Linked DNA regions of Lytechinus pictus. The protein of the gene in region 1 purifies or fractionates together with the protein of each later gene. This does not show direct contact. Links are inferred from orthologs where the notes say so. Each region holds a gene or a part of one and is shown on either strand. Other genes may lie near its edges.

What was found.
Region 2: the proteins of GTP-binding protein 4-like (region 1) and mRNA turnover protein 4 homolog purify together in Homo sapiens (affinity purification with mass spectrometry; 3 studies listed by BioGRID and IntAct, counting the BioPlex papers as one, with this or other methods). This does not show direct contact. The link is inferred for Lytechinus pictus from reciprocal best matches to the Homo sapiens genes GTPBP4 and MRTO4.
Region 3: the proteins of GTP-binding protein 4-like (region 1) and ribosome biogenesis protein NSA2 homolog purify together in Homo sapiens (affinity purification with mass spectrometry; 3 studies listed by BioGRID and IntAct, counting the BioPlex papers as one, with this or other methods). This does not show direct contact. The link is inferred for Lytechinus pictus from reciprocal best matches to the Homo sapiens genes GTPBP4 and NSA2.

What each region holds. Positions count from the first base shown.
Region 1 is NC_087247.1:48,313,908-48,322,309, reverse strand, and holds the start of GTP-binding protein 4-like, read left to right. Parts: upstream 1-5,077; 5' UTR 5,078-5,177; coding exon 5,178-5,255; intron 5,256-5,541; coding exon 5,542-5,645; intron 5,646-7,442; coding exon 7,443-7,680; intron 7,681-8,402. UniProt on the Homo sapiens protein: Involved in the biogenesis of the 60S ribosomal subunit. Acts as a TP53 repressor, preventing TP53 stabilization and cell cycle arrest.
Region 2 is NC_087245.1:41,221,370-41,229,165, forward strand, and holds the start of mRNA turnover protein 4 homolog, read left to right. Parts: upstream 1-4,383; 5' UTR 4,384-4,464; coding exon 4,465-4,492; intron 4,493-7,796. UniProt on the Homo sapiens protein: Component of the ribosome assembly machinery. Nuclear paralog of the ribosomal protein P0, it binds pre-60S subunits at an early stage of assembly in the nucleolus, and is replaced by P0 in cytoplasmic pre-60S subunits and mature 80S ribosomes.
Region 3 is NC_087249.1:25,097,142-25,105,490, reverse strand, and holds the start of ribosome biogenesis protein NSA2 homolog, read left to right. Parts: upstream 1-4,964; 5' UTR 4,965-5,134; coding exon 5,135-5,137; intron 5,138-8,349. Other genes in the region: GON-4-like protein, read left to right, coding at 34-136, 571-723. UniProt on the Homo sapiens protein: Involved in the biogenesis of the 60S ribosomal subunit. May play a part in the quality control of pre-60S particles.

The DNA.
Region 1 (8,402 bases):
GCCCGAACATGGTCATTGGGGCCTAGGTTACCTCAAGAATGGATTTTTTGTGCAGGCTCCACTTCACTACCGCTACACTACGCGACACCTACCCGAACATGCAAAAAAAAAAAGCATACTTATTGTAAAAACCCTGCGCCGCGCCGAAACTAGCTTGAAAAGAATAAGAAGCTTGATTTCTTACTTTTCATTTTAATTTCAGTCCATATTATCCATCCTCCGGTTAGCCTCAAAATTAGTGATTTAGAGCCAACATCGAGTTCCTCTCACATATAAATAATTCACTGCCGATTTCAAAACATTGCATGAGCAATGAGCCATTTTCGATTCGGCAGAGAATGTAATACGTGTAGGGTACCGCGATTCGGCTTCAAATCACCGGTTTTTAGACGTTTTGAAGAAAGGGCAACTTGGAGAGAGTGTGTCTGGTGGTAAGTTTAGTAACAGTAGTCAGTTGAATGTTTAGGTCTTCATGTGCTGGCTTTCTATACATAAAGTGCCACAGTTTGTCTTTGTTTTTTGGTGTGAGAGCGATTGTCATGTTTGTCACCCGATGGTTCGGATACATGTAGGTGGAGCGGAGAGTAGCGGTAGTGAAGTGTAGTGTAGCCTATACAAACCATTGCCTGAGGTAGTCTACGCTGTGTTCGGGCTGCGCAGAGTTGTACTCGAACTCACCAGATGAAAATCCAAGAAGCATTGGGAATCACAGCAGGAAGGATGAAATTTAATAAAATGTAAGAATGGAAAACTACATACTCACAAATTTATGTGCAACTCTCACGGCCCTCAAAACTTGGAAATGATGCCCCAAAACTAGGGCAAATCACCCGGTGTGCATCAAAAGTCGGTCGTGCAGGAAGCAATGGAGAATTGGTAAAGCCTTGTGAGAAGGCACACGAGATAAATCGATTTTTATCACCATACAGGCAGAAAACAAAAATGACAGGTAAAATAATAATTTGATTAAAAGAAAATCAAGTAAAATATTAAATGATTATGTGATTTGACTATGTTCGTATTATTATCAGACCCCCTATTTCACTAAAGATCCTATGGAGAAAATACAACTGAAGGCCTTGACAAAGGCTATCGTCTGAGGCGTCGAGTAGAAAGGATCTTGTGATAATTCATGAGTCTAGTGGCGTAAATTTTGCCAGGTTCTTGGATTGGTTTGGCTGGCGACCAGTCACGAAATTAAATGCCTCTGCTTTTTCCCTAACCCTATGGGTTTTTTTTTTCAAGAAAAGAGCTTATTTTCATGTTAATTATTTTCTTATTTTTTTGTTTTATTTTCTCCCTCATTTTTTTTCTGTTCAATTTTATTTTCTGGTTTGTTCTTTTTTTTCCCCTTTTCTATTTATTTGTTTTTGCTTTTTTGCTTTTATTTATTCTTCTTTTCTTGTTTTGTCCTTTTGTTCCTATACCGTTCTTTTCATTTTTGGGGTCGGTTTTCTTTCTCTCTCTTGTTATTTATAATTTCCATTTTTGTGTATTTTTATACTGTGCATGTATTCTTTCAATTTGAATTATATGTTGTGTTGTATGTTTTTAATGAGAATTTGAAATAAATAAATGAAATGAAAATTAAATGTAAATTTTTAATTAATCCACACATATATATATCGTCCAACCAGTAGCGTACACAAGGCGGGGGGGGGGGGGGTTGGTGTTACATGGGGTCAACCCCTCGCTCCTTCAGATGACCAAGGTCAAAGGTCATTTAGGGTCGATGAACTTTGACCAAGTTTGGGGTATTTGTTGAATTACCATCATAACTTTGAAAGTTTATGGATCTGATTCATATTACTTGGAGGCCGTTCTCATTACGCTTTCTAAAACTAGTTTACTGGAAACCGATTCAGGAAACCACTTTGGAAGATCGCTTTGCTAGCGTTCCCACTTGATCACACGAAAGTGGTTTTCAAAATCACTTCATGTAAAGCGCTCTTGTTGCTGTGGAAATGCTCTCAGTGGGGTGACACGTTTCGCGCGAAATTCGAAACCGCAGCATAGGCATTCTACACCTGTCGTGTGGAGTAGCGCGCTCAAAATGTGCAAAGATCGCTTCCCGAAGAACGGTTGTGTCCTCACTTACGCTAAAACCAGTTTAACGAGGCAAAGCGATCTTGAAAACTACATCGCGAGGTGGTTTTCCAAACTGGTTTGGAAAATCGCTTCCAAGACCGCTTCGACCGTTCTCACTACGCGTTAAACTAGTTTCCACTAAACTAGTTTCCAGTAAACTAGTTTTAGGAACGTAGTGAGAACAGCCTCTTGGACATAAGAGTAATCAAGTATCACTGAATATCCTGTGCGAGTTTCAGGTCACATGACAAAGGTCAATGAACTTTGGCCATGTTGGTGGTATTTGTTGAATTACCATCATGAACTTTGAAAGTTTATGGATCTGATTTATAAAACTTGGACATGAAAGTAATCAAGTTTCGTTATGACACCTAGATAGATCCTAAGCATTTGATTGGTTGTTTGATATCGATCATTCGGACCATTTTACAATGATGTCATCGACCGTGCAATTTAGGATCCATACGATTTTGTCCATTGCACGCACGCATTGTACTCAACATAATCGACAATCAACAGACCGAGCTCATACTGCATGATCATATTTTGCATTGAAATTGATAAATTTCCTATGAAAATAATCTAGTTTTAAGTGTCATATAAACCAAATAATGAATGTTCCTTCATTCGTGCAATGGACAGAATACTTCATTCAGTGAAAGATGAAATGAATGATCCATTCAACTCTTTCATCTTTCACCTCATGAAGTATTCTATCCATTGAACTCATAAACATTCATTATTTGTATACTGAACATATTGTGCAAGTTATAGGTCACATGACTAAGGTCAAAGGTCAATGAACTGTTGCCATGTTGGGGGGTAATTGTTGAATAACCATCATAACTCCAAAAGTGTATGGATCTAGTTCATAAAACTTGGACATAGAGTAATCAAATATCACTGAACATCTCATGTGAGTTACAGGTCACATGACCAAAGTCAAAGGTCATTTATGGTCAATGAGCTTTGGCCATTCTGGAGGTAATTATTAGATTATTATCATAACTTTCAAGATATAGTTTATAAAATGTGGATATAGCCTTTATAGGGGTAATCAAGTATTACTGACAAGTCTAAGGTAGCATGATCAAGGTCAAATGTAATTTATTGTCAATGAACGTAGTATTGTATCATTATATGAATGGTGTTTTTTGTGAATAATTATTTTATAGTACGGGTAGTTTTCAAAGTCAGCACTGCTGCTACATGTATATTGAATCGCGCGATGCAGTTGTTATGTATTATACATGTATTATTAATGTTGTAACCCGCAAGTGAAAACCCGAACCGTATCGTCCCGTATAATCCAATAATTTGCAAACGGGATCCGCTGACCCGTCGGGTTTTAACCCGCCAGTCAATTTATCTTTGAAAAATGAAACGGTTGAAACAACTGTCTCACTGCCGTTCACCGCAAATCCCTCGAGCTCAAACAGCGAGCGTTGCCGTGGAAACAGGCTTGACTCGCCCCACTCCAAGTCATAAAGCATCCCTTTCTCTGCCACGTGGCCTATTACTCGCTCCTTGCCAGACATGATTACGCAATGTATTCTGGCATCTGTTTACATTCTCCGAACACATCCCCTCCCCTCTCTCTCTCTCTCTCTCCCCCTCTCCCAGTCGTAAAACATTCCTTTCTCTGACTGCGCTGCACTGGCGCTCCTTTGAAAGAGCAACTCGATGTATTATGTCGAACTGTCTCAGTCCTGTTCACTGTTCACAAGACAAAAATATGCCGGCATTTTTTTAAAGGAAATATCTACGTCTCTAAAAGAATCCGCCACGTAAGAAGCACATGATCCTAACTCAATTTTCATTGTTAATGTTTTTATTATGCGTCGTTACTTCTCCCTTTTTTTCGTATGATGGTCTGCGGGTTTGAGAATGAACTCGGCCCAACCCGCGACCGGGGGCATACCGGCAGGTTAACCCGTACCGCAACGGGTGCGGGTTATTGTAATTTTATATTATTTTTATATTGGTGAATAAAATCAAATGAAATAAAATCAAATCAAACAGAACCACTGCACTGTAACACTTTCACATAATGCAATTTCTGCTATCTAAAATTGTAGTTATATTATTTATGCAATCCCCACACTATACAGGCTCAAATCAGGAAAATATATGCCAACTACTAACCTAGCTTAGAGTGAATTTACTTACAATTTGCAAATTCGCCTTTTATTCCGGAGAGAAAATGTTTTTTGGGGTGACTTTGTACCACGAAATGGGTCCGTTCTGATCTCGAAATTGAAAGCATTACGCAATTAACTCCTCTTATTGGAGCCTCAGCGCGCGCTAGCTAGCCCAGGCTGCCCAGCAAAGACCAGCAATGTTGTTTTTCAGTCCAGGTCGGTCGACACGGCGACTCACAACAATCATTTTACAATATTCAATTCTATGGGACCTCGTCTATAAAGTAATCAAAATTGAAATAAATACCAGGATAATGATACAGTCAATTTTTTCTTCTTGTATATCTCCATATTATTTCCTTCTGTTTTTGTATTTCTTTCAATTCTTTGTAAACTAATACAAACGTGCACGAGGGCGCCCATGAACTAAACATAAACAGCTCGTGTTACTAGTGCTTAGCTAGGCTTTTATTTATTTTTTATCTCTCTCGATCGATCGGTCAAGAGAGAGGTATTTGCAAGAAACTTGCAATCTAATTTTACATCTTCAGAAATCTTTATTTTTTATTTTTATATTGGTGAATAAAATAAAATGAAATAAAATCAAATCAAACAGAACCACTGCACTGTAACACTTTCACATAATGCAATTTCTGCTATCTAAAATTGTAGTTATTTTTTTTTATTAATAACTGTAGCTCTTGAGGACTGAACATAGTACATGTAGTCTATTTTTGTATAGATATATGTGCATATTTTATATCATTGAATTCAAGCTCATGGTATGTAAAAGCAGAAAATGTGTATTAAACATTTTGATCTTTGATGAAATCTTTTTTTTATTTTGCATTTTAGGACTTTATTGATATTGTGCTATCAAAGACCCAACGGAAGACTCCAACAGTTGTCCACAAGCATTATAAGATCAGCAGGATACGACAATTTTACATGAGAAAAATCAAGTTTACACAGCAGAGTTACCATGACAAACTTCAACAGATTATCCAGGATTTTCCCAAGTTAGAAGTGAGTGGGAGAAATGTATTTAAGTGTTATGATATACACTGTTACTTTAATTTGATACGGACTTGTCTATTGATATCTTATATATTTACTATATATAAACAAAAGGAAGTTGAATTGCCATAGTATGCAGTAGTGATAGTCATATTTAGATGTAGCACTTTGAACTAAAATGTATGATGATGGTGATGGTGTTGTAGGTTTCCTTTTTTTTAGTATGATTGAATCAATTGTACCTCTAATGAAAACAGGTCCATATTAAGTATCTATACACCTCCACCCCACACAGGATGTCCATCCATTCTATGCTGATCTGATGAATGTTCTCTATGACAAAGATCATTACAAGCTTGCCTTGGGTCAGATTAACACAGCCCTGCATCTCATTGACAAGTAAGTACTCAAGTTGATTCTTTATAGTAAACATGTGTAATGTACTAAACATTGTAGTGAATTTGATATTCTGTATATGTATTGCAAAATGGTAAATTACAGATTTATAATTTTTTAAAGTGGATTTTGTATGTTACCAAGACCTTAGCCTGAGATGAGGTATAATTCATGGTAAGCATGCACTATACAGTGTGTATCAAAAAAAGTTTACACTTAGAAAAAACCGTGTAAAATTATACATTTGTAATATCCTGAAGATATGTTCACATTCTAACATTAGTACAGATCCATTTAAGCAAATGACGATATAACTGTAGAAAAATATTTCCGCTTGAGTGAGCACCACTTACTTTTGAAAAGTTAGTGAAAAATGATTTGCGCAGAACTTTGAAATAGTTATGCGAATAAAAGTAACCTTAATAATGAAGAACACGTGGAATTTAGCTAGTAAAATTGATTTGAAGATATCTTTTACCTTTTTAAACTTGTTTCCTTGCCCAAAACACTTCGAAGAGTGCATTGCGCCCCACCCCACTCCCCAACACACCGAGGCCATCGTGACAATATTTGCTTTACACTGAGCTGTGATTTACATAAAATGGTTTAGGCATGATTTTCATTTTGTTAATCATTGTCAAGCTTGGGAAAAGTGTGGAGAAACACGTATTAAATAAAAAAATGAAATGTAAACCCACTTTAAATGATAAAAACTTCGTGGTAAAATGCTGGAGATGTCTGATATAAACTTTTGCTCTGATTCAGTTATGTCCTCAGATCCAGCTGGCACAAAAAGGGTAAAGGTTGTGCTTACTAAGTATTGAAATTTCAATTTCGGTGGCAAAGTTGTTACAAAATGCTTGAATGTATCTGTTTTATTTCAATTGACTAAAAGTGCAAGGGAATTGTATGAGAAATGTTTCGCAGGGTAAGTTTGATTTCGCCCTTTCCCCTTGACACAGCGTGAAAACAAGCATTTCTGCGCAAACAGATTTCTGAGAGCTTTACAAAAATGGACAGTGCTCACTCAAGTGTAACATTCTATAAAAACTTTAACTTTTATTGGATAGATGAGACCCAAACCCAAGATTATATGTGAAAAATTACCCACATGTTGTATATTTTTTAATTCCCAGGAATTTTTCAAAGTGTGTTTTTGATACACACTGTATAATGGATACAAATTAACGGAACCTAGTAACCTGTTTAGATTGGACATCTATCACAAACATGAAGCACAGTCAAAATATCCAATGCAGGTAGCACTTAAATGCCTTACTTCTTGTGCATCTTGGCCTATGGAAATTTATACACAAAAGGCCATGCAAAAATAGTTGCTATATCCAATGGTCATGGCTATATATAACAATTTGCACAATGGTTGGGAGAGCTTATCATACTGAGAATCTTTCATATTATACGTCGTATGAAATAATCAAAGAGAACTAATATAGAGTTGACTGAATCTTGCCAAAATTATTTGCTGTGCTATCTCAAGCCAATCACATTTCAGTAATACCATATGGATTTCTAGTAATACAAGGAACAGTTTGTATTTATTTTTTTCTTCCATAGAAATGAACAAATCTATTCTGGAATCTGAAAAGACCTGAATTTCTGCTCTGAATGCTATCATAAAGATATCATTAAAAAGATTGTGTGACTGATTTATTATAGTCATCATAAATGATTTTTCCTAATTATTAGCCCTGTTGAATTTGCTATTATTTTTTCTTTTCAAAATGATTTATGATTCACACTACTGTATTTTGTTTCACACTGCCATGTGCTTTTCTCCAGTGTTGCTAGAGATTATTGCAGATTGATGAAGTACGGTGATTCCTTGTACCGATGCAAGCAGTTGAAAAGAGCTGGGATGGGAAGAATGTGCACCATCATGAAGAGACAAGGACAGAGTCTGGAGTACCTGGAGCAGGTCAGGCAGCATTTGTCAAGGCTGCCCTCTATAGATCCAAACACACGCACACTCCTACTTTGTGGTTTTCCAAACGTAGGCAAGTCAAGCTTCATGAATAAGGTGTGTTCATATGTATTTTATAACTATGGGGGGGGGGGGCTGAAAATTACATTTATGCATAGCAGAAGAAAAAAGTAATTGGGCAGTTTCTTCTAGTGTGAGGTAAATCACACCACCCTTGTCCATGGAGACAAAACCCAATTCAACCTTTGATTACTACATCTACTATAACATAGATTGAAACTTACATTACATTTATGCATAGTATGTTTTGAAACCAGATTGTAAGAGTTATTTAGATTGTTGTTTAAGCAGGTCAAAGGTAACTTGTATAGAATTCAGTCAGTTTATTCAATCATGTCTATGGCAATGCTGTTAGTACTACTAGGTTAGGAAAAGATCTTGTCTCCCTTGTCGCTGGCTGGGTGAAAGATAATAATAATAATAATTAATATGTTCCATTTATATAGCGTAGCAAATATAATTGCATATATACTACTGCGCTTGATACTTGGTATATTATTACCCGTCTGTAGCTGAGCCGCCGTATAGGTGCTAAAGCATTCAAGGAATAAATCCTACTGGATACCCATTCACCTCACCTGGGTTGAGTTCGGCACAATGTCTGAGATTCAAACCCACGTCCACCTGATTGAAAGACGTGAGTCGTAACCACTAGACCACGACGCCCCCACGATACACTCTATCAAACTCTGATTGCACTTCAATTCCACTTTTTAGTGTAGTATGAGTGATATATTTTTGAAGTAAATGTTGACTTA
Region 2 (7,796 bases), on another chromosome or scaffold:
TCAAGTATATTTTACTCAGTATTTTGCAAAAGTAAAATACTTATCCATCTTTGGTATTCAATTCATTTTTTTTTTGCTAAATATTTTGCTTAAATGTAAGTCAGCCATCTACTAGACTTAAGTCTACATATACAAAAATGATACGCACAGAAATACATTCACACATTTGGCACTATTTGGCTCAAAATTTATAACATCACAATGGGTATTAGTATTTAGTTCAATTTGGATAAGGTAAATTCTGAGATCTGATCTGCATACAAGTTTAAGCATTTTGATAAGCCAGCCAAATTGCTAAGTAAAATACTTACAAAATCAAAACTTAGAATTTAATAGGCGGCCGAGGTATTATTTTCTTCCAGAGGACATGTACAGATTTCTTGTTGACAAAGGATGACATGATGATTATTTTGCAAATATGGCTTATTAAAAAATATATTATGTATATTCCATTTCAGTGACAATTGCATTTTTGGGGAGGGGATATTACGTATTTGGGAATGGAAAAGTTCAAAATTAATGCAAACTTAACCTATTACGCAGGGGGGGGGGGGGGCTCTGAGCTCTGCGATTTAAAAAAAAAAGTCTTTTGCATGTTTTGAGACCAGTTTTGCGAAGCCCGGGTACTGGGTTCTGAAAATTACCAAACAATTTGTAAGTGCATATCAGACAAAAATGGCTCAAAATTGTGATATTTGTGTACCACGTCAATGGAATATGCGTTTTCAACCAAAATTCATGAATGCCTAATTGTTTTTAGTTTTGTTGAACTAAACTGATTTATTTTATGCTGTTACGAGAGTCCGAGCATCGTTGAAAAAAAAACAATGCAATACAAAGGTAAAAACACAAGAAATACATTATCGAAGAACACCACAAAGAGTTTCTAAACCAAAAATTAGAACATTTGGAGCTTTATTTAGGGAGTTAGAGGAATAGGTACGTATAGTATACTAATTATGCACAAATGAGCATAATCAATTAATAGCAATTTGCATGAAATAAATGACTACACAATTTTGTGGATTATTAAAAGCAATTGCGATCTTTTTCTTCACTATTCATTGTTTTTAGAAACCTCATTGTAGACTTGCCTCATGCACCTCTCAAGATGGCTTCATCATTTGAATTATATTCTACACTTATCATTCTTTAAAAAAAAATCATTGTAGACATGCCTCACCTCCTCTCAAATTGCCTTCACCATAACTTGTAATACAGTTTATTCTTTTTATAAACCTCCATTAACTAATTGCCTCACCTCCTTTTAAATTGGCTTCACCATAATTTGTAATACAGTTTATTCTTTTTAAAAACCTCCATTGAAACTTGCCTCACCTCCTTTTAAACTGGCTTCACCATAATACAGTTTATTCTTTTTAAAAACCTCCATTGAAACTTGCCTCACCTCCTTTTAAATTGGCTTCACCATATACAGTTTATTCTTTTTAAAAACCTCCATTGAAACTTGCCTCACCTCCTTTTAAATTGGCTTCACCATAATACAGTTTATTCTTTTTAAAAACCTCCATTAAAACTTGCCTCACCTCCTTTCAAATTTGTAGTACAGTTTATTCTTTTTAAAAACCTCCATTGAAACTTGCCTCACCTCCTTTTAAACTGGCTTCACCATAATACAGTTTATTCTTTTTAAAAACCTCCATTGAAACTTGCCTCATCTCCTTTTAAATTGGCTTCACCATATACAGTTTATTCTTTTAAAAAACCTCCATTGAGGCTTGCCTCACCTCCTTTTAAATTGGCTTCACCATAATTTGTAGTACAGTTAATTCTTTTTTTAAAACCTCCATTGAAACTTGCCTCACCTCCTTTTAAATCGGCTTCACCATAATACAGTTTATTTTTTAAAACCTCCATTGAAACTTGCCTCACCTCCTTTTAAATTGGCTTCACCATAATACAGTTTATTTTTTAAAACCTCCATTGAAACTTGCCTCACCTCCTTTTAAATTGGCTTCACCATAATACAGTTTATTCTTTTTAAAAACCTCCATTGAGGCTTGCCTCACCTCCTTTTAAATTGGCTTCACCATAATTTGTAGTACAGTTAAATCTTTTTTTAAAACCTCCATTGAGGCTTGCCTCACCTCCTTTTAAATTGGCTTCACCATAATTTGTAGTACAGTTTATTCTTTTTAAAAACCTCCATTGAGGCTTGCCTCACCTCCTTTTAAATTGGCTTCACCATAATTTGTAGTACAGTTAAATCTTTTTTTAAAACCTCCATTGAGGCTTGCCTCACCTCCTTTTAAATTGGCTTCACCATAATTTGTAGTACAGTTTATTCTTTTTAAAAACCTCCATTGAAACTTGCCTCACCTCCTTTCAAATTTGTAGTACAGTTTATTCTTTTTAAAAACCTCAATTGAAACTTGCCTCACCTCCTTTCAAATTTGTAGTACAGTTTATTCTTTTTAAAAATCTCCATTAAAACTTGCCTCACCTCCTTTTAAATTGGCTTCACCATAATTTGTAGTAGTTTATTCTTTTTAAAAACGGACTTGCCTCGCCTCCTTTTAAATTGCCTTCACCATAACTTGTAATACAGTTTATTCTTTTTAAAAACCTCCATTGAAACTTGCCTCACCTCCTTTAAAATTGGCTTCACCATAATTTGTAGTACAGTTTATTCTATTTATAAACCTCCATTGAAACTTGCCTCACCTCCTTTTAAATTTGTAGTACAGTTTTTTTTTTTTTAAACCTCCATTGAAACTTGCCTCACCTCCTTTTAAATTGGCTTCACCATAATACAGTTTATTCTTTTCAAAAACCTCCATTGAGGTTTGCCTCACCTCCTTTTAAATTGGCTTCACCAGCATAACTTGTAATACAGTTTATTCTTTTTAAAAACCTCCATTGAATCTTGCCTCACCTCCTTTCAAATTTGTAGTACAGTTTATTCTTTTAAAAAACCTCAATTGAAACTTGCCTCACCTCCTTTTAAATTGGCTTCACCATAATACAGTTTATTTTTTTAAACCTCCATTGAAACTTGCCTCACCTCCTTTTGAATTGGCTTCACCATAATTTGTAGTACAGTTTATTCTTTTTTAAAAACCTCCATTGAAACTTGCCTCACCTCCTTTTAAATCGGCTTCACCATAATTTGTAGTACAGTTTATTCTTTTTTTAAAACCTCCATTGAAACTTGCCTCACCTCCTTTTGAATTGGCTTCACCATAATTTATATTCTTTTTTAAAAACCTCCATTGAAACTTGCCTCGATCGCCTCCTTTTAAATTTGTAGTACAGTTTATTCTTTTTAAAAACCTCAATTAATTGAAACTTGCCTCACCTCCTTTTAAATTGGCTTCACCATAATACAGTTTATTCTTTTTAAAAATTAACCTCCATTAAAACTTGCCTCACCTCCTTTTAAATTGGCTTCACCATATTGTAGTACAGTTTATTCTTTTTTAAAAACCTCCATTGAAACTTGCCTCGCCTCCTTTTAAATTTGTAGTACAGTTTATTCTTTTTAAAAGCCTCAATTGAAACTTGCCTCACCTCCTTTTAAATTGGCTTCACCATAATTTGTAGTACAGTTTATTCTTTTTAAAAACCTCCATTGAAACTTGCCTCACCTCCTTTTAAATTGGCTTCACCATAATACAGTTTATTCTTTTTAAAAACCTCCATTAAAACTTGCCTCACCTCCTTTTAAATTGGCTTCACCATAATACAGTCTATTCTTTTTTAAAACCTCCATTGAAACTTGAGCTCACCTCCTTTTAAATTGGCTTCGCCATAATATTCAGGTAAGGTATATTCATTCTTTTTTTTAAAAACATCATTGTTCACTTCCCTCACCTAGATCATTTGGCTATATATAATACCTTTTATTCTACACTATTCTTCCCTTTAAAAAAACCTGATTGTACTCCTGCCTCCCCTGATCTGACATTTGCCTCTCAACGTACTGGAAATAGATACCCTTTTTTCAATATTTTTGTGTTTTTGACACCCTTATCACGTTACGTACGTAACGTGCCCTCTCTTGAAAAAGACATCCTTTTTACGTGTTTTTTTGGTCGCGCATGGTATCCACTCGTCAATATAAGTGGCCCCCCGGGCGTACTGTACATAGTGTTATTTTATTATCTCCTTATATCGGAAACTTCGTTTTACCGAATTGCCATGCACTCTCCGACGCGTTTGAAGTCTTAGACAGCATGGCATACTACCAGCCGATGGTACACACACGCACACACACACACGTTATTTGACAACTTGTCTCTGGAGCCAAAGTTCCTCGCATATAACTATCTGCATGCCTGCACGCAGTGTGTATTGAACACACACGACCACGATCTAATGAATATTCATCGGCGAGACTGACGTCATTTTACGAGTCTCCTTTCAAACTTGGATCATAAGTGCCTACCTTAAATACCCCAAACTCACGTGTGTGCAGGAAAGTGTGAATTCAAAGACAAGAAGATGCCGAAATCAAGACGTGACAAACGAAGTGAGTACAGTTTTTATGAAATTCAAGTTTCATTTATTTAATTGTCCTGTGTGTGATTTGGTTAGAACAGACAGGTGTATTTATATAGAATTCTTTGAAATAACGCACGAAAAACATTTTCAGTTTTTCATCACGGTCCCACTAACCGACAATGACGTCTGTTAATACCGTACGTGTCTATGAATTCTTGATATTGCTGTAAAATGGTAGACTGAGAAAATGTTGAGATAGATACCCATCCTATAATTCTTGATTACAGTGCTTATAGATTTTCAAAATGTGAGGTCAGAATATCAAAAAATTACAGCTCACTGAGACTCATACCGAGGAGATCATTTATTGGTAGGGTGTCTGGAGAAAAAAATTATTTTTCTTATTTCAAGAAAATATCACATTTTCTTTGTGAATTTGAAGAGAAATGACCTTCAGACTGACAGAAATGTAACATTTTTGAAAAAAATCCAATTATTGGCTGCAAAAAAGAAGAATGAAATTGGGTAAATTTTCAGCATTTCTCTGCCATAGACTGTGTAGTTAAGAAATGGACACACACAAATCCAAATTTTTAGCTTCCGAGAGCTGTTATAAATTTATTATTAATGCCAAAAACTTGTCCATAAAGAGTCCAATAGGATTTTTTATGCTCTATCTGATGGTATGATTTTTATAAAGATTTGGAAACCAGATCACAATGAAAAATTGCGACAAAGTGAAAAAAATTGTGCAAAACAGAAATTTCATTTTCCCATAGAAAACGCATGGAGAAATGGCAATTTCAACACACACAAAAATAAGGGTTTGCAATTTATCTCTAAATCCTTATTTAAAATGATCATATAAACTTGTCCTTACTGTCAGAAGAAGCTCCTGAATTTTCTCTTTCCATACATGCCAAACACAAGTTAATAATCAATTCAGATCACATTTTTCTAGTAGCCTGAACTTCCCCGAAAAAATGTGCCATATTTTCCCCTAAATTAGCCTGTTTTAGGCTGACACTTTTCAGTGTGGCTTCAGACACCCTATTATTGGGGTGTGGAAACGACCCACAACGAACAACAACAACAACAACGGTAGACCTAAAGCTTCAGTCTTTGTATTTGGTTGTTCCGCTGAACTCTGTTGGCTCCACTCACCAATACATTGTCTTTCACTTGGTGACAGTACGATTTGCGTACTGTCGCCAAGCGAAAGACAATGAAATCAAGATAGGGTGTCTGAAGCCACACTGAAAAGTGTCAGCATAAGAGACTAGAGAGGCTGATTTAGAGGAAAATATGGCACATTTTTTTGGGAAGTTCAGGCTACTAGAAAAATGTGATCTGAATTGATTATTAACTTGTGTTTGGCATGTATGGAAAGAGAAAATTCAGGGGCTTCTTTTGACAGTAAGGACAAGTTTATATGATCATTTTAAATAAGGATTTAGAGATAAATTGCAAACCCTTATTTTTGTGTGTGTTGAGATTGCCATTTCCCCATGCGTTTTCTATGGGAAAATGAAATTTCTGTTTTGCACAATTTTTTTCACTTTGTCGCAATTTTTCATTGTGATCTGGTTTCCAAATCTTTATAAAAATCATACCATCAGAAAGAGCATTAAAAATCCTATTCGACTCTTTATGGACAAGTTTTTGGCATTAATAATAAATTTATAACAGCTCTCGGAAGCTAAAAATTTGGATTTGTGTGTGTCCATTTCTTCACTACACAGTCTATGGCAGAGAAATGCTGAAAATTGACCTAATTTCATTCTTCTTTTTTGCAGCCAATAATCGGATTTTGTTAAAAAATGTTACATTTCTGTCAGTCTGAAGGTCATTTCTCTTCAAATTCACAAAGAAAATGTGATATTTTCTTGAAATAAGAAAAATAATATTTTTCTCCAGACACCCTAATCAAGATAAACATGGTGCCGGTGGCAAGTTTTTCCCCTTTTCATAAAATTTTTCTCGTTTTTTGAATGAATTCTTGTTTAAAAATGAAATCACTAACGTAGAAATGTCGGAAATGTAGTTGTATCTCATGTACATGATTTAGGGCTAGATCTTTTAGAAAGAAAGTAGAAATCTTGGGGGCGAAAGTTAGAGGTTTTTTGGCGGTACGTGTAAGTTAGATGAAATAAGCATACGTTACTGTGGGGCGCTCTTCCCGAGCATTTCATGGGGCGGTCTGTACTGTCCGATCTTCCCCTTGCATTGTAGTATAGTATCTTTACTTTACATCTCGCTTTTCTCCTTTCATAAAATCATGCACACACGTTTCGCCCTATGTACCGCCATCACTTTAAGTTGTGACATGACCATGATGACAGCAGAATGACATGAGAAATAGAGAAAGAACGATAAGAGTATTAATTAGCAAGTAATTAGCGGAGAAAATTATGTGGAACAATTCATTTCAAAATCACAATTTCTTGAAAACTATCAGAATACGGTATCATGTAAAACTAAAGGGCTACGTCGCACCACGGAAAATCCGGTTCCAAACAAGCATGTCCGGCTCTGCTAGCCCTAGCTAGCTGCGCCGGCACGCTGGCAAATCTAGCATGGCTGGCTGGCGGGAAGTGGAAATGCGCCAGTGTCTATGCATGGACATCATCCGGTTATCAATGATAAGATCGTAATTTGCTGAAATGATTCTGAAACATCCTGTACCTTTGAGGATTGATGATGAATGATGCAACAATTATTTCCGATAATTGTTCCCCACTTTTTGTATGATTTTTTTCCCGGTGTCGCTCGCGCTTTTCATGTGATGAATGAAGAGCTTGTGGAATGCACGCGTGTCACATGCAACGCGTGTTTTCTACACTGGCGAGAATGTTGACTGGCATTGCCTTTGTTTGTGAAAGCTGGAGTGGAGCTTTCAAGTTAGAATATTGACGATGACTGAAATGATAACTTACAATCTTTTTATTAGCTAAAATCTTGCCCAGATTTATTCTCCATTATCTAATTGATGACCTGATACCCCTTTCACAAACCCAATTATGCGGATAATATCGGCATAATTTGGTTGTAAAATCGGAGCGGGACCAGAGTTATCCGCATTATTTCGATGCTGCAATTACCTGCATAATAGCAGCATCTGGACCAGATTTTGGCTTTGTGAACGCATTTCCAAAGTAATGCGGATAATTGCCATGGTGCGGTCACAAAAGGTCACCCTTTTCCAACACAACCCCATCGGAGGGGGCGTGTGCAGTTGCCATGACAATTATCCGCCTTTTTCAGGTCGGGCGCTCGTAAAAAAATAGTGCGGATTATTTTCGGAGTTTGTGAATGCAATTTTTATTGAATTG
Region 3 (8,349 bases), on another chromosome or scaffold:
TTGTTATTTTTAAACTTATCTCTTCATTCACAGAGATGCAGACAGAGTGTTACTTCAGGCCTGTCAGGAGGAAGGAGCTAGTGAAGAAACTTTCATCAAAGTAGCTTCTCATTTGAATGATAAAACACCACAACAGGTATGTACAAGCCAGGGTATCATGTAATTTCCAAATCTTTTCTATTGAGTTTTGTTCAGTTTGTATAGACATATGTAAGCCATTGTAGAGTTTTATTTGTGAAAGTCCATCTGCATTGTTGATAATTATAGCTGAATTTTCAGTTGTATCATTAAAAGTATTATTTTTAATATCAATTATGATATCATATGGGATAGTATTCATAGAAAATGTGATGATGATGATGATGATGATGAATGATGATGATGATGATGATGATGATGATGATGATGATGATAATGATGATGATGATGATGATGATGATGATGTTGATGATGATTATGATGTTGATGATGGTGATGGTGATCATGATTATGATGATTATGATGGTGGTGGTGGTGATGATGTATAACTAATGCAGGATGGTTTGATATTTTTTCATTTTTATTTTGAAGGTTAAAGAGAGATTTGCCACTCTCATGAAGTTATTTCACCTGAAAGCAAGTAATGATGATGAGCCAAGCAACGATGAAGAAGATGAGGAGGAGGATGAAGAAGAAAGTGGTGAAGAGGAAGAGGAGAATGTGGATGATGAAACAGAAGTCTAATAAAATGAAAATCCAGTGAGAGCCTGGCAATGTTTGGGGCAAGGAAGAATATGTGATACAAGGCAATTGGCCCCCTTGCTTGATAAACAACAACAAAACAAAAATAGTTCTTGTACGTTGCAAAGAATCTCAGAAAATTGCTATTGAGACAAATACAAATGTATTTGCCATGAACAGAAAAGGAAAAATATTGCTCTACAGAAATTTTAATTTTGCAACTTCAGAAACACAACTTGATTTTCAGAAGCGCTTATTTGGGACCTGTACTTGATTCTTATAATTGTGACAAAACACAATTCCTTCTGTAAATGTGCATGTGTTTTCTTTTCTCTTTTCTTTCAAATCTACAATTTTTGTTTGCTGTGGGCTGATATGGTTTTTTTATATGTTTTTAAACAGTATCCCATATTAACAACTCATTTTTTAGTCATTATTCAAACTACCCCCTTTCATGTGGCCCTGTTACTTCTTAAATACAAGACCTATGCTTTGTTCTTGAACTTTGAATTGTTATCAAAATTGCATACAATATTTAAATGAGAAAATCCCTGTTTTGTCAAGAAAGAAATTTAACTGAATTATGCTTTATCATGATGCCATATTTTATTTTGACATCTGTATTTCCCCTTAGACTGCCACATTCAAAACTGGTTTGAATGACATCATCCCTCTCCTTTGATTTTTGGCCGATAATTATTTGGCGACACTGTACAGTAGGTCCTCTTGTAATTGTGTCAGTTGGTTCATTTACAGAGCTGTTTTCTCTACAAGTGTCACAATACACACTGCATACTAGGTCTTACTTCCTAAATGTCCTATTCGAACATGTGCTCTAGAATTAAACTTATTTCTCTGGGTTGTATACAGACTTATGGCAAGTTTTTGAGAATTAATGCCACTGCTGTGAAAAGTATTTTGTATACTCGTTTTGAATTAAATGGCAAGTCCACCCCAGAAAAATATTAATTTGAATAAGAAAAATCAAACTAGCATAACGCTGAAAATTTCATCAAAATCTGATGTAAAATAAGGAAGTTATGACATTTTAAAGTTTCGCATATTTTTCACAAACAGTAATATGCACAATTCAGTGACATGCAAATGAGACAGTCGATGATGTCCCTCACTCACTATTTCTTTTGTTTTTTATCGTTTGAATTATACAATATTTAAATTTTTACAGATTTGACAGTAAGGACCAACTTGACTGAACCATATAGTATAAAACAATGCCAATTCCACATATTCAGGGAGGAATTAATCATTGTTTCACTTGATAATGAGGAGAAAATAGAATATTTCATATTCCATATAATAAAATACAAAAGAAATAGTGAGTGGATGACGTCATCTGCCTCCTCATTTGCATACCGGTCAGGATGTGCCTGTAACTGTTTTATGAAATTAAGCGAAACTTTAAAATGTCATAACTTTCTTATTTTATATCCAATTTCGAAGAAATTTTCAGTGTTATGCTTGTTGGATTTTTCTCTTTTTAGTCATATCAACTGTTTGTTGGGGGTGGACTTGTCCTTTAAATGAAAATAGAAGATGGGCTTATTTTACTATATACATTGCTGAAATATGTGTGATTTGTATAGATATGTGAGAAATGTAATCCTGTTTTCTAAGTTTTGTATGTTTGTTTGTTTTTTGCTCTAAAGAAATTACCCAAGCTTGCCAAAATAGTATTGAATTAGAGTGAGTGATTACAGCTATTTTGGAGTGAAACTTAATTTATTCCCATGATTTAGGTATTTGACTTTGAGTGAATGCTTATTTCATAATTTTTGTATTTTTATTATTCATCTTACATGTTCTTTTTCTGATAACATGAAGGCAGTTGATTAATATTTTTTTAGATAGAATTGTGATATGATAAGATTAGATATTGATGATGTGTGCAAAAATCATGGTGGTTTGCATTTAATCTAATTTGTAATTCCTGCCATGTATACCTGCTACTCAATTAAATGTATAAAGATTGTCTTTTGAGGAATTATATTCTAGAAATAAAGATCTTTTTTTGACCAGTGACTAACCAGTTGTAGTATATCCATATATAAATTGCACATTATGAATTCACAGTTATTTTAGGAATTCTTTCCTCCAGAATTCACTCAATGATTATGTCTGCTTTTTTCCTCTTTATTGACATTTTCATCACATGATTGTGATTTGTTTATTTATTATGGTAAATCTAATTTTAGTGCCTCCCTTCTCCCAAGATATAGACATATGGTGATATAATCTTGGTATTTATTTTGTTGATGACATATCATACAACTCCCATCATTCATGCTGTACATTTTGTTAAGTATATCTGCCTTTTGGTGCAATTTTATTTGTAATGAGTGGTAAACTGCTGTAAACAAAAAGTTTGTTAATTGCTATATTTTGTTGGTCTTCTGTACATACTTGTAAATACAGGAACAGTTTTGTATTTCTGATCTTGCAAAAAGCAAATATAAACCTGAGAGTTCTGAATTATGGAAACATCTGTCCTGTCTGGCATTTCTGTTTTGTTCTAATGATGAATGTAATCATTTGAATTGGTAAATGAATAATCAAGTAAATTGAGTATATGAAAGTGATAAAAATATATATGTATGAAATGGATAATTATAAAGGTTCACATTTTTTGTGGTGTAACTGCATGATTAAAATGACAAAAAAATCCCAACCAAAATGGAGGAAAATCTGGTTATCAGCCAGGACAGTCTTGTGTTTTTATGTGTGAATGAAAGGGGACAGCTGTGGAAAATAGGGTATAATCCAACCCATATAGAAAGTTTTTTTTTTTAGGTAAACAGAGAAGCAGATGGGTGAAAGTTTTTCCCAAAATTGGAAAAACGATAAGAAAGTTTTTAGCAGTTGTGAAAATTGTTGTCACTTTACTTTTGGGGTTTAAAAGTGGCTGCAAAGATATGTCATTAATGTGATGTATGGTAAGAACTGATTCTTTGCAGGTTTGCTTCAATATACAAAATGACACAAATGTCTTTTTTTTTTTAACTTTCACTAAAATTTTTCCTTTTTGAGTATTAGCTTAATACAATTTCTATGTTAAATTTGATTATCGCTCCAGTGGATGGCTAGAAGAGAAAAAACAATTTTTTATGACTAAGTACAAGATGATCCAATGAAAGGAAAAGTAGTCTCCACATTGATCGACGGACCAAATTGTCAATTTGAGACTTTCTAGACTTGGTGATCTCAATTTCGCTGTTATCTTTAACTTATTTGTCACCATTTTTTTCCTACAAATTTCAAACATTCTATTTTCCTTATTTTTTTTCTTTAACTAAAAAAAATATTGCTTACGATTTGTCTTTAGTGCGTTATTTGATGACACTAACCATGCAGACTCTGAAAAGCAATTGAAATACTTTATGTTCAGCTAATTATTCTGTCTGTTCCATTGAATCGGATTACAAACAATCTTTTGCTGGGCTGCATATGACAAACCCGGAGACAATGAGATGGGAGGGATTACTAGTATCTGAGACTATTTTTCATGTGGCTATTTTCCATCCAAATCAATGTATTGACTCTATTGATTGAGAACATTGGAAGGCAGGGCCTTAATTGGGAAACGATGCAAGTTCAGGGGGGGGGGGGCATTTCATAAGGCTATTTGTAAGTGAAGAGTGAATTTAAGAACGACTGGTGATCTTGTGGTAAATGATATTCTCAAATGTTCATTGGTGATTGAGTATAAGAAAGGTTCAACAGTCATTCTTGAAATTGCTCTTAATTACAAACAACTTTATAAAACACCCCAACAATGCAGGGGGGTATCTACTGACGTACAGGGATGTGGGGATGTGACACTCTTTATAGGTCACTTTTTTGTGAAAAGTCCTTAAAGTTGGCTGAAAAATCCTCCCAATAGCAACCCCCTTTGGGACATTGAGTGATATGACTTTATTATTATTACTGGTATTGTCAAATGAGAGGAAATCCTTAAAGGGGAATCCATCATTGGTCTTATGACATTTGTGGGACAGGAGAAAATCATGAAGTTGTGTGATTTTTCTTTTTCGTCTATGTATTTGGGAAGGATTCCCCTTTAAACATTAATCTCTTGGGGAGAAACTGAAACTCCTTGATAATGAGTACCTTTTTTCTGCCTAAATGTATACCCATATATGGGTTTCAGCTGCACACCCCATACGAAAAAACACTTAATACCCCCCCCCCCCCCCCCATCCACGGGGTCGTTGATCCGGCCAGCCAGCAGATCGAGCTAGCGCTCGCGAGCGATAGTTCGTTGACCCTTCTGCGACGCGTGTCTCTGCTGAGTTAAGCTGCTGTAACTGTGCATGTGGGTTTCATGTTGTGAGGAGCTTCACGATTCCTTTCTAATTTTTGACTGTTGAGTTGATTTTATCAGCAAAGGTTCCTCAAAATGGTAAGAACGATAATATTCATTCAATATGATAAAATTTCGATGATATGTGATTTGCGAACGATATGAAAATCAGCCACTTTTAAAAGTGAACTTTCGTAGTGGAAATTATGTGTTATCCCACGTATTGGAAACAATGTCATGTAGGCCCTAGATCTAACGTTACATGGTGTTGACACTGCACTGCGCAATTTTTTGCAAAGCTCAGTGGCAAATTGTCCATGCATAGCCATAGACTGTATAAAGTATAGGATGGGGGTCGGGTGTCCGGACACTTAATACTTTTGAAGCCTTCTTTTTTGTCTTTGGATTAGGCCTACACTGTAATCATCTTCTATTTTGTTCTCTATGACAATTAGTAGAGGCGCTGGTCAGAAAATTGGGATCGTCCCAGACAGGGACTGTCTCAGTTTATAAGGATTTCTTCACACAAGAAATCTAGGAAAGTTCATTCACCTGTCAAGTACCGACACCAATCAAGTGTGCTAGTCAATGTAAACATATCAGGTTTCATAACAAGACTATTGGAAGACGGTAAGTCATGAAAAATAGACGGTGAACTGGTCTAGGGGGAATTGAGGTCACTGCACAGTGGCAAATTGTCCATAGACTGTGTACAACGGATAGACCGTCTCGGCTCAGCGAATCGGAGACCGCTGATTGGCCAATCGCGCAGATCACGTCATGACTATATGGTCGCCAAAATAATTCAGACTGCGTGCGAAAGTATCGATAGTGATAACGCAAGGCTCCACATTAACTTTTTTTGGTGGTGGCCCATTCGGGCCACCAAAACCTTCAAATATTTTTTTTTGGTGGCCCGATATTAAAGTTTGGTGGCCCGAAAAAATTAAAGAAAAACATTAAAAATGAATAAATGGGTATAAATGGTTTAACCACAGTAAAAAAAAAAAGGAAAGAAAGTAATGTTGTAAATCGGATCAAAAATCAGATCGAAAATCGGATCGGCAGTTAAGCTTCTAAAATCGAAATCGAATCGGCGATGTTTAAAAACAAAGGAATACATCAAAATGTTGTTCGCGGTCGCGCGCATCTTCCTGACAAAGTCACAAAGACGAATGGAAGTCGCCAACATGCGCGATCGTTTGGAACATGTTTTAAAGCCAGGGGTTTTGAGGTGTTATTGCTTTAAAATAAACCGAGTGATTTTTATTAGAAAGATAAACGTAAGACGCATCTTCCGAGCAAAGGCGCAAAGGAAAATAAAATGAAAATATTTCTCATAGATCACAGGTTAATGAACGATCGGCGGGACATCTTTTAGAAGTATTTTTAGGTGCTAGCGATTTAGAATTATTGGAATGATCTCTTACGACGCATCATCTTAAAGTCGCAAGTGCAATTAAAATGAAGTAGAAGACGCAAGCACGCACAATGATTTGAAATATGTTATTAAAATGTTTTGGGTAGCTAGCGTTTTCAAATTTGAAGTTCACGGCGGGGTCCGCTATCACCACGAGGTTGAAGAGAAGATGTCTATCATCATAAAGGGGGTAAGAGAGTAGCGCAGTGAGCTCCGTCGGTAATACGACCTTTTAAAGTTCACGGCGGCATCCGTTATCACCACGAGGTTGAAAATAAAATGAATATCATCATAAACGATGTAAGAGAGCAACGCAATAAGCTCCGTCAATAGTACAGTCTTTAAAAGTTTATGGCGGGGTCCGCTATCACCATGAGGTTGAAGAGAAGATTTATATCATTATAAAGGGGGTAAGAGAGTAGCGCAGTGAGCTCCGTCGGTAATACGACCTTTCAAAGTTCACGACGGCATCCGCTATCACCACGAGGTTGAAAATAAAATGTATATAATCATAAACGATGTAAGAGAGTAACGCAGTGAGCTCCGTCGGTAATACGACCTTTCAAAGTTCACGGCGGCATCCGCTATCACCATGAGTTGGAAGAGAAGATATCTATCCCCTTAAACATCGCCATAGATAATACCGCGACTTTCTCCCTGAATAATGCGACCTCTAAATAGCTAGCACCTCAAAAACAATCTTGAAATATGTTCTGAGCGATCACGCACTGTAACCAGATCTACGCCGATTTTTTATTTTCGATTTTTTCCTTCAAGGGGCATGATCGAAGATCGGCAAGTGATTGCCGATTGTGGTGAAATCGAATGGAATCGGTTGCCGATTGCAAAATCGGTTACAAGCTTAAAAGAAAGTAATAAAACGGCAAAAAAAGTGTGAGAAAATTCCTTCCCTCTATTTGCCAAAATGTTGGAAAAATTCACATTTCATATTAATGAAATGCCTTCCCAAAGTATTTACTTTCTCAAGAGTTGTTTAAGAAGTCACTTATGAACAAGAAAGAAAGTAACTGTCTGTTTATTTTTGGCTAGAAAAGACCGGAAAAGACACAGCTTCGAAAGAAACCAAGTAACAACATTCATACAAATGCACACGTGGGACTGTGATGTACTCACCTATGTGTTTTTATGTGTATTATTTTCTTTTTTAGTCAAAAGAGAGGTCACGATTCCTCTTTTTAATGCTTGCAAATAATCAGGATACACCAGATTTTAGCAAAAAGGTCTGTAGAAGGGCATTTTATTGGTGTAAAATGTGACTTTGACTTGGATTTTCACAGTTCTGTGGAAGATTTCTTGGCAGCAACATTTCGTATTGCAGCTCCCTGAGTCTGAATAGGCTGCTAACGCACAGCTGCTTCAAGCATGCAAAGCTCACGCCAGCCGGCCAGCGCGGCCGGCTGGATAAAAGCTACTTAATGCTATAGCGGTAGGCCAACTTTGTGTGTGTGTTTGTGTGTAGATCACCAAAAAGGGAGCATGACGAACTGGCTTGCAATTTGAACTGTAGAAAGTTGATAAATGCGTGCAAAATGGGGAGAAAAATTGTGCTATTCTGAAAATTATTGGTTGCCCGATTCGGGCCACCAAAACTTAATATTTTTTCAATAATGGTTGCCCGAGGTGAATTTCTGGTGGCCCCGGGCCACCGCTAATGTCGAGCCTTGGATAACGATATCCGGTCACATTGTCTACGCGGGAAATGGTCTTGGTTCGTGATCGGATTGCTCCAGTATTGATTGAAAATTATCGAGACTCTGGAATTTTGTGCATATTCACGCGACGCTCCGAAACCCGGAAATCAATTGACTTTGTACACGTTGCGATAGACTACAAACTCAACGAACACGATGCCATATCAACGCTAATTCGT